3 linked regions of the Astyanax mexicanus genome follow. The protein of the gene in region 3 interacts with the protein of the main gene of each other region in a pairwise test. Links are inferred from orthologs where the notes say so. Each region holds a gene or a part of one and is shown on either strand. Other genes may lie near its edges.

Evidence for each region.
Region 1: the proteins of creb3l1 (region 3) and tmem218 interact in binary tests that used the Homo sapiens proteins (3 or more experiments, as listed by UniProt). The link is inferred for Astyanax mexicanus from reciprocal best matches to the Homo sapiens genes CREB3L1 and TMEM218.
Region 2: the proteins of creb3l1 (region 3) and pgap2 interact in binary tests that used the Homo sapiens proteins (3 or more experiments, as listed by UniProt). The two-hybrid records come from large-scale screens. The link is inferred for Astyanax mexicanus from reciprocal best matches to the Homo sapiens genes CREB3L1 and PGAP2.

Annotation. Positions count from the first base shown.
Region 1 is NC_064427.1:33,392,972-33,396,733, forward strand, and holds the start of tmem218 (transmembrane protein 218), read left to right. Parts: upstream 1-1,403; 5' UTR 1,404-1,903; coding exon 1,904-2,013; intron 2,014-3,249; coding exon 3,250-3,352; intron 3,353-3,762. UniProt on the Homo sapiens protein: May be involved in ciliary biogenesis or function.
Region 2 is NC_064424.1:10,367,414-10,371,175, forward strand, and holds the start of pgap2 (post-GPI attachment to proteins factor 2), read left to right. Parts: upstream 1-1,606; 5' UTR 1,607-2,061; coding exon 2,062-2,229; intron 2,230-2,424; exon of another isoform or gene 2,425-3,762. Other genes in the region: ncbp3 (nuclear cap-binding protein subunit 3), read left to right, coding at 1-84.
Region 3 is NC_064430.1:14,611,618-14,615,379, forward strand, and holds the start of creb3l1 (cyclic AMP-responsive element-binding protein 3-like protein 1), read left to right. Parts: upstream 1-1,405; 5' UTR 1,406-1,698; coding exon 1,699-1,800; intron 1,801-3,762.

The sequences.
Region 1 (3,762 bases), on a different chromosome or scaffold from region 3:
TGTGGAGCCCGCTGGCCCCCTGTCGGTGGTCGCTGAAATCGTAACAGTGACGAGAGAAAAAAGGACAGTCCAGCTTCTGATGCTCTTACTCTTCCTCGAAAAGCACTTTAATACTGTTCTTTATCACTCTCACTACAGTACAACTGATACTATACTGTACTATCACACAACTAAGAGACTACATAATCCTAAAACAATACAATACAAATAAAAACTATACTACAGCTATGATACTAAACTGTACTAACATATACTTTAGAGACTACATCATTATTTTATATTAAGAGTACACTAGTATACTATACAATATAAAACTATAGTACAGCTATGATACTTTACTCTACTATCCTGCACCAAGGGACTATATAATCCTATATTAAGAGTATACTAGTGTACTATACAATACAAATAAAAAAAAACTATACTACAGCTATGATACAATGCTATACTATCATACAACTAAGAGACTACATAATTCTACAACAACAATATACTAGTAAAAACTACAGCTATGATACTATATTGTATTACAACGAAGAGACTATATAATAATTGTATTGTAAAGCACTTTGGTTTTAAATGTGCTCTATGAATAAATTTGACTTACTTACTTACTTACTATTGTAATACTATGCAATACCTCTAGTACTATAACACAACTCTGATACCATACTGTACTATCATACAACTAAACGACTACATAATCCTAAAACAATAGTGTACTAATATACTATACTAGTATACTATACAATACCAACCTATTGTATTGTGTATATAACGAGTATACTATGCAATACCAACCTATAATACAACTAGAGTATGTTACTATCCAGGACTATGGTACTTTTTTTACCACTTATACTGTACAAAACTATACTATACCATAATATACTATATAACACTGTATAGCAATACTATACTATAATCCTGCACAATAATATTAAAGAATACTTAATAACTGTCATGATACCTGATGTTAAATTGTACAGAAATAATAGTAGTACTATAATATTATACAATTCAACACAAATAATGCAGTATTAGTTTTTTAATAGATTTATAGACTTTGATCACTGTTCAAAAGACTTATTTACAGTGTTGTATCCTCAAAAAAATCCAACATCAAATTGTTTGTAAATGTGAAAACAATTGTTGGAAATCCTTAAAAAATATATTCAACATTAAGAAGTTTCAAAAAGATTCAAATTACTTTTTAAAAAGATCCTAATCTTTTTTTTTAAAAAAACTACTATTTTTAAATACATTTTCAAGTCTTTTTGCAAATATATTTTTAGCTAATATTTAACACTCCGACTGCATCTCTGTAGTCCTTAGATACATTAATGAACCACATCTCCCAGCATGCAGTTCGTGTGACTAACAACGGCTGTGGTTGGCTGTTTATGGTAGCATAGGAAGTGTTGCTGTGCCGCTTACTGTATCCAGGGGTAAACAGTTATGATGGAGTTTTAAGCGTCGCCTCGCTGAATTAGGGATGTGTACAGATAAACGGGATAAGTTTAATAATAAGTAATGAGTGAGGCATTAGCAGCATAAGCAGCAGTGGCCAATTTGTTAACCGGAAAAAAACGACTTAACGCGCGAGTTAGCTAGCGTTAGCTATCGGTTCCATTAGTTTAATTCACGGTACACATAACACTATGGCTAGCTAGTAAATTAGCTAACGCTAAAAGCTTTTTTTCTTCAGTCTTTTACTACATAAACAAAGCCTGGCTAAGCTAAACGCATCATTGTAACACAGGGCTGTGGATTAAAGCGGTCTAATGTTCGCTGTACAGGCTGGTTTTAAAAAGTTAACTAGGTACTAGGTACCTAGAGGTGAGTTTTTACAGGTGAAGAAGTGAGGTAGCTAACTAGCTAGGAAGGGGCAGATTAGGTAGGTATGGCTGGAGCAGTGCTGGGAGTCGGTACCGGGGTTTTCCTCATTGCTCTGGTCTGGATCGTGACTCTTGTTCTCACCCTCCTGCTGTCCAGAGCCTCCGCTCCAACAAAGTAAGCTAAATAATGATCCTGCATCAGATTAACTGTACAGCTAACCTAGATAACAAGCTAATATTTTTTCCTTATCTACCCAAAGAGTTTGGTTCTCGTACTCTAATCAAACCCTTTTAAAACTATACTAGTATATTATATGTTTTAATTGAATGAGCTGGATAATATATTGATATCTTACCATGCTGTGATACGTTTTCTTATCATATTGACAATTAGCATATAGAGGATACCATCAGCACTTAAAGAACAATAACCTAGCTTTACATTTCATTACAAAGAATGTAAAAAATCATGTTAAACTGAATTATGTGCAGCAACATTCAAATAAAATGTTAAATGATTTATTTAAATATGTTAATTAATTAATTAATTAATTAATAAGAATCACCGTGCTATGCATAAATCTGTCACTGCCCACGCGTTTGTCTGTGTGTTAAAATAAAGTAAATACTTATATTTATACTAATATATACTTATATATACTTATAATAATCTTTAAATATTCTCATATACACGATGAAGTATGTGTCACAGACCCTTTAAAATATGTGGAAAGTTACTTACAGCTCCTCATCAGTCATTTTAACTCATGAAGCCCCTAAGTAAAATGGATTAAACATCCTGAGTGCATTACAGGACAGTGTGTGAATGTGTGTTTGTTCATCTGACCTTGTGGTGTGCTGGGTTTGTGCTGGAGATAAAACTAGCTCCTTTAAAATTGTATTTTTAAGCTGAGAGAAAAAGAATCCAGCATCTGAAAGTTAAAGAAGCATACTGGCTGCCTCAGTAGAATGATATTACCGGATTTAAAACAAATATAAGTTATGATAGGGATGGAATTTAAAGGTTAGTGGAGCACCACAATGATTTTGAAGCAGTCATTTTAAGATATACATGCTGCATATATTTGCTGATGTTACTTTAGAATAGATGGTGGTTATAAAGGTGGTAGCTTAATAAGTGCATTTCCACTTCTTCCTGAACACGTATCTTGCACTGATCAGCTGTTCCCAGATGGCTAGTTTACTGGGGTTCCACAAGGAAATTACAAAGATTATGCACACTCTTCAGGCATTTGATAATTTCAAGTTCAGTTTTTAGTACCTATTAAAATCAATACACTCTAATTCCTTAACTTTTACCTACCACATGTCTTATAATTTAGCCTTGCTTCTTTACATGTTTATTAAATTTGTAAGATTTTTAAAGAATAATACTATATTCTTCCATCAGACTGCTGATCATCCCCATTGTTCTTCTGGCTTCTACCATCACCTTGATCCTTGTGTTCTTCCCACGAGCCCCTGAAGTTCCTTCCCCAGTTAAAGAAGTACAGGTCAGTGCTTTTAATCCTAACGGTAGATGACATGCTGGTTTAAAATCTGCCATTGTAGTTTTCCCATGTTCACACCTACAGCTCTGGGGAAAAAAAATGAGAGACCACTTAAAAATTATGAATTTCTTTGATTTTACCAAATTGAACCAGGAGTGGCAGTGTGTAAGACTGGTGGAGGAGAACATGTGATAAAAAAACTGATTAAAAAACAGGGTTATTCCACCAAATATTGATTTCTGAACTCTTAAAACTTAATAAATATAAACTTGTTTTCTTTGCATTATTTGGGGCCTGAAAGCTCTGCATATTTTTTTTTGTTATTTGAGGCATTTCACATGTTCTGCAAATAAATATTTTTATTTGCATAATATTGCATAATATTTTCACATGCACACGTCTCTATGAACTGT
Region 2 (3,762 bases), on a different chromosome or scaffold from region 3:
AAGAAAAGCCGGCTAGACAATCTTCCCTCACTGCAGATCGAGATAAGCCGAGACAGCAGCAACGGTTCCGACAGTGACTCCTGAAAAGGAACGAGAGACTTAAGCTAAAGGGTGGATCAGTGAGGGAGAAGAGGTGGGAAATCCGTGTTGTTGAATTGTTAAATAGACCCTTAAACTAGAAATACTCACTTTCCAGACCTAGTCTGGATTTGGAACCTGGAGACTTCCATCCCCACTTCTCTCTTTCTCTCTCTCCTCACCCACAAAAAGAAAGAGAGAATACTGGAATGTGTCCTTGTTTAAACGGTCAATAAACAAACACCCTCCTTTTTTTCTTTTTTGTTTTTTCTTTTAAAATAAATTGATGTGATTGGTTGTGGTATCTTTACACATTTACAAGGCCCAAATATTTTTTATGGTAATGCACCAAGTTATCCAGAAAATCAGCAGTGAATGTCAAGGCTTGGTATAAGACTAAAAAACAGCAGTGTAATCAGATGTCTATAGACAGTACTTTTGTGGTGAATAATCCTGTCAGTGAGAACAGTCAGTTTTTATGTGAAGGCTGGTTTATTAATGTGTGAGAAAATTCTGATTGAAGCCATGAAGAAAAATGCATTGGACTGTGACTGTTCAGTACTGTATATGGTGCACAATACTGTAGCCAATCAACATGATCATTTCCCTAAAGAGGAGTGGAAAACATTCCCAATAATGTGGTGAGTGAGTTTAACAAGCAAGAAAAGTATAATGTCTGTGAAAATAAACATTTTTTACATAATGCTATGGCATGTACTGTTGATCTTTAGCAAAATTGTTGCTTGAGCAGCTTTTTTTTTTACCTGTTAAAACCAGAGATTGTTTTCATATGTTAAAAAAAGTTCAACTCTTATGTGTGAGGAATTAAATATACAGATATTTCACTTTGATTATTTTTATTTAGTATATTTAGCAAATTACTACTTTTTTGTATAATTCAGTTGTTATTGGTTATGATATCCGAACTGCTTTATGAATTATCACATATTTTAAGATTTAAGAACATTAGAGTCAGTTATAATTCCAGTCATCCTAGTCATAGACTTTGTATTCTTTCAGTGGAAAAACTCTATTACAAAAATGCATATGCACGTTAATGTTTAAATTTTAGAGCCCGTAACAGAATTCCTATTTTCATTCTGATTAATGCTAAATGCATAGGCATTTCTATCATTGTCCTTCCCTGCTGTTGGGTTGTTTTCCTAGCCCTAGCTTGCCCTGATCGCTTTCTGAAAAAGATTAATAATTTGTCTGTTTTGAATTATTTGGGTGTTAGTTTGTATAAAATTAACAGTGCATTTAATTGGAAAATATCATCCCACTGATGTAAAAAGAATATACATTTTTGTCGGTGTGCTATATGGACCTAAAATAATATCACTATATTTCACTCCTATTTTTTCCCCATTGGCTTAGGTTTTGAGCGATATTAAAAAAAAATTAATAATAATTAATAATAATTCGAGAATATTGACTTTTGTAAGCAAACAGTTTAAAGTTTAAACATTTAAAGTGATGCCCACACATATGTATGTAAAAGAACGGACTTTTAGTATGAAGTTGTGTTTTTAAAATAAAAGTCCTTACAAAACACTAACCGGACGCTGTATTGTGAACGTCCTCGTCAGCTTCTACTAGCAATAGTTTTTTAGCTGTTTCTGCTAGTAATTGTTATATAATTTGTATTGAAATAAATAGTTACCACTCTGTGTTAGCTATTAATACCACAGACGCTGTTTAGTAGTGTCTTATTGACCGAAATAGGCGGCGACAGAGGTAGCTAACGCTAGCGAGCTAGGCTAACTAGAGGTAGAGTCTCGAGCTTACCGGTGCTAGGCTCATTAAATAGTGCTAATTTAATTCCGGAGTTAATTTCTCCCCTCAGAGCTTCGCTGTGCGCTATAAACGGCTTGGTTCTGGGTTATGGGCTGTAGAATTCAGGCTGCCGCCGTTTCCCCGCTGTTGTCAGTGTGTGAGGGAGGAGTTGGCAGTAATATGTAGTCGGTGAGAGCGGCTGTCAGGATGCTACAGGTGCCCTACGGAGCTGTGGACCGGGATAAACCGCTGATCCGCCTGCCGTTCACCCTGTTCGCTGTTTTAACTGTCTGCCTGCCTCTGCTCGGACTCATCACCTGCATCACGGTTTCACTGCTGTATCACTACAATGAAGCCACATATACCCACTGCCAGGTGAGTATTATAGCTAGCTAACTTACTAATTAAACGTTAACTAACTAATTTTCTTTATTTTTTAAATGTTTTGTTTGCACATAACACTGTTTGATGTCCATCAGAATATACTATGAACCAGCCAATGAACAAGTTTATAAAGCAATGAAACAGTAGCAGGGCCCCATCCACTGCAAAAACACTGGAAAAACGAGGAGCCGCTCGCTGCAGCCTGTAGGAAGGCGGAGTTGGACATCCAACCCCGCCCACATCCAACTCCGCCCATGTCCAACTCCGCCTTACGTCTAAAGCAACACCCACCTTACGTCCGTCACGAACGCCTACATTTACTCCAGGTAAACAGGAATTATAGCCGAGAAAGCAGCTAAAGCATCTATCTGATTTATATCTCCGGTTATGGCGGTAAGTACAAATATTGAGTTATTTTTTAAGTTAACAGAGCTATTTTTATAATGTCCTCTTGTTTTTCTATATTATATTTTATGAATAAACAGTGAGTCGTTGATACGAACCCTTACTGTGAAGGTTCTACATCGGCGCGTGTACCATGTGGTTTGTTTGCTTCTAGCTAGTCATATTGCCGTTTTTTTTTTTTGATGGATTCTAATGCAGAATTGCACCCAGTCTTGTCTAATTCAAACTTTAGTTATCTTACCTTCTGTTTTATGGGCTAAAATGCTACCAATTAATGGTATCACAGATAAACTCTCATAGCTAGTAGTGAGCTAGGCATCAGTTTTGTTTTTAAGGCATAGCTAGGGGTTATAGTCAGCTAACCTAAAAAACTGTTTAAACTGTCTATACAAGAAGTTAATTGGCCAACAAGATAGCAAGATAATCTAGCTAACTAAAATTGGTTCAAAGTCTTAGTCATACAAATAAATATTTGAAATGCTTAATCCTCCTATTTAATTTGTCAGGAATAGCAATGGTATTCCCGGGTTAATTTGACCTGGTTCATTTTTAATTATCCAAAATATTTCTGAAACCAAAATAATCCTAACCAGAAGAGTAAATATTTAATAACTAACTCCATTGCTGATTGTTCTATCAACATTTAGTACAATAGTGTACAATAGAGGTAATAGTTCAATTAGGATAATTCACTTGTTTTTCCATTTTAAAAAATCTTACTTTTTTTTTGTTTTACTACTTTGTTACTTTAAATGACCAACACAATATTTTTACATATAAATGAAACATAACATTACAATTTCGTTTTAGTTTTAGTTTTTGCAGGGGGTTGTTGCAAATATGAAATTAACCATTTTCATGTTATATGTTAATTATACAAATAAAGGCAAGCTGAAGACGTTTCATACAGAAAAAATACTTTTACTATCTTACTAAATGGGTCAATTTGACCCGTAACGTAACAGGAGGGTTAAGTCGATGCACATTTATTACCTTTGTACTGAATGTAGTTACAATTAATGTGCACCGATATAGTAATTGTAAGCTCATGTTGTGTTTTGTTGCTTTCTGTTTTACAGCATCCAACACATGTTCAGGCCACTCCTGACCCTTCACGGT
Region 3 (3,762 bases):
ATTTTTAGTTAGCATATAGCTGAAATCTAATGTTGGTTGTATAATAGCAGCTGCATTCTATTGCGATAAACTGTGTTTTATATTCAATTAACGTATGATCCGATTAGTCGACTAATCATAAAAAATAATCGGTGATTAGTCGACTATAAAAATAATCGTTTGTGGCAGCCCTAAATGGGACCATGAGGAGTTAAACGTCAGCCCTATCTGGGCTGTACAATACACACAGGACCTAGATGGGACCCATGTGGGATTAAATCAAGGTCCTGTAACATCATATGTACAGTACAAACCCACCTGAAATGCACCTATAGCCCACATTTTACCCATTTGACCCTCACATGAACATATTGGCTGGGATGCTTCCCAAAAATGTGTCTTTGTGAGTACCACAGATACTCATACTCAGTAGAACATTAGCCTCTCACTTTTGTTTACTAGACTAAAGCAACTGAAACCAGAAACCAGCTTTAGGCGACTAAACAGTGCAGAGCACATCATGAACATTCTTTCCTCCCAGTATTGTATTATTAAAAGAAATGAGTGCAAAAGGAAGTAATGCAACAATGAATGAACTGCATTAACCTGTGATTTACTGATATGACCATACATCTTTTGGCCTCAGTAACTATTTCAATGTGTTTGTGTGCATAGGTGTGTACATATACACTTTATAAAAAACAAAACCAATAAACATTTGTACATCAAAATGTGTTCCTTGTTATTAACAAGTGATAATAATAATAGTACTACTACTACTACTAATAATAATAATCTTTGAGTTCAAATGATTAAATCAATAAAAAAGGGGGAAAAGTGGAACTGACTACCCAGGGCCTGAGTAGGGAAAGGGGCCCATGAAAATCCTGATTTTTTTTTTTTTCGTTCACGTTCCTTGTGTACTGACATGGATAGGGGCCCACTGACATTGAGAGTGTACAGGACCCAGAATTTGCTGCTTCACCCCTGTTTATACATATATGTATATATATGTTTAAACAGGGGTGAAGCAGCAAATATATATATATATATATATATATATATATATATATATATATATATATATATATATATATATATATATATATATATATATACAATGACATCCCTAAAAAGGTTAATAAACACATAGATCCACCACAGAAGCAACGGAAACAGTTAGAAAATACATAGTTAGAGTTCATATAAACTTAAGAGGACTTCTAGAGAAAAAAATATTTAAAAAAAGTCCAATATCTAATTGTTTCTATACTTGTATCAAATGTCATGCTTTTATCATAAAGGTCTGGACTTGTGTTCATGGCTCTTTAATTGGGCGTGGCTAGAGCGCCCTAGCGGGCGGGGTGTATTTGAATATTCATGAGAGCACGCTCGCTCCTCCGAGCTGCTGATGAATGAAGACGCAGCTTGAGGAGCGTGTAGCTTTAATCCAAGTCAACGCGATTTCTGCAGAGTGAGAGAAGCAGCCAGCAGCCAGCTGCGGTCACACACACACTCACACACACTCATACACACACACACAGGCTCTCGGATGAAGGCGACAGCACAGGTCAGACTAGCTTAGAGGCGGCTGAGGCTACAGAGAGAAACGCTGCGGCTGTAGTTTCAGATCACATTTCACTCCTAGATTTTGTTGTCTGAGCTGCTACTTGAGATATCTGACATTTTTCCAGAAGATTGAGTCCATTCACCCCCAATATGGACACCATATTGGACAGTTTTGCCTCGGACAAACTTTTCCCCAATTCCAACCTGTTGGACCTGGAGGACCTGAATGAGAGTGATTTCCTTACCAATGTGGTGAGTGGAGATAATTCACTTTCATTAATTCTTCTTTCACTGTTTATCCTGTCATTTCTGCAGGCTAATATAACAGACTATATACTGATGGTGAATTGGATGGTTATGATGGTGTGTTTGTGCTCTGAGGGAAACAGCTGGTGACTATGTGAAACCGGTATGTTCATGATAAAAAGTTGCAGTTTCACAAGAAACCGGTATTTACATGCTAAATCTGACAGTTTGTTTTTCTTTGCAATAGTTTCAGTATCAATGTGTTTATATATACTTAGTATATAACTAAGTATGCGTGCATCTAATCGTTAGTCTCGATTTATTTATATTAAACCCTATGTGACAGTCAGTTTACCAATAAAGTTTAAAGCCCTATGTTTTTTTTCCTTTCAGTGAAAAATCTTAAAAAAATCATTCAACCTGCTGTGTAATCCAAGACTAGGTTTAATCCTGGTTTGGATAACTAACCCCCTACATTAAGTCTGTGTACCAATACCAATACCATAAACACAGGAACTAACCCCCCCAAACACACACACACACACACAGTGTACATATCCTGCGTCACTCCTTACACTTGCGCTTATTCTTGTGTTTATCTGGCGAATTTTGTGCTAACGAAATCTAAACACAGTCAAGACTTTCTCCAGCTGTGAAGTTTGCTCAGCTGTGTGAGCACAAGCAAGCAAGAGCGCAAAGGGGGGCGGGGCGTGGGCTGGGCATGTCTGCCTCTGACACGCCCACATCATACGCCCCCATCCTGCTTCTTGCATCCGGCTGATGATGAGGCTCTCTTTTTCTGTTTAATCAGACAGACAGCAGGTTGCTACTCTCATCTGCGTTGGGGGTCAGAAGTAAAAGACAGTGAACTTTACTTTACTTGACTTTATATCACACTCATGCATAAGTTCCCATTTATGCTCATCATTTATTTTACTTTTACAATGTGAAAGCATTGCTTTAAGTGAATATGCTATATTTGCAATAAAGTTATTAAGCCCTATAATTTCCTTTCAGTGAAAAATCATTAAAACTGCGGTGTAGTCCAAGACTAGGCTTAATCCTGGTTTGGGTAACTGCTCCTATACTAACCCCCTACACTTAGGCTATTTACCAATACCATAAACACAGGAACTAACCCCCTCCCCCCACAGAAGTGAAAGACAGTAAACTTTACTTTACTTGACTTTATCACACTCATGCATGAATTCACATTCATGTTCATCATTTATTTTACTTTTGCAAAGTAAAAGCATTGTTGTATGTGAAAAGACTATACAATCAAGATGTTAAGGTATTAAGAAGTAAGTTAAAATGAAAAAGAACAAAGATAAAATGGTACATCTTCTATGTTTTAGATTCAGTATTATTTCCCCTGTTTTTTTTTTTTTTGAGCTGTTAGTCCTCCTTTAGTTTTAAAAATCTCATATAAAGAAGTGCTTGCAAAAAGTTTTTTGGATGAGTGCAATAGAATTCCCAAATATGCATCTGCACAAACATGCCGTGGCCAAAACATTCACTATATATTATGGTATTTTAACGATAACGATACTCATGGCGATAAAACACTGATTAAAAAATATATATTGCAAGAATAAACTACTGCAACAAAATAAAAATTAAATTTTACTATTGCATATAATATGATAGGGCACACCCCTAACTGAGATATTAAAAAATACAAGAATTTTATCAGATTTGTAACAGAAGAATAATCCAGAATGTCATGATACTAATAATGCACTCCAAATATCTTCATATATCCAGGATTAAAGTAAAATAAATGATATTGGACAGATAGAATCTGTCTCTAGTAGATATATAATGGGAAATGAGAACAGTGTGAATTTTTCTTTGGCTAAAAACAGCAAAAAAGTAGTACCCTGATGTGATAATTAGGGTGGGTGATATAGTATGATATTTTAGGGTATAATATTGTTCACGTAATTCAAAAATGTTGGTGATATT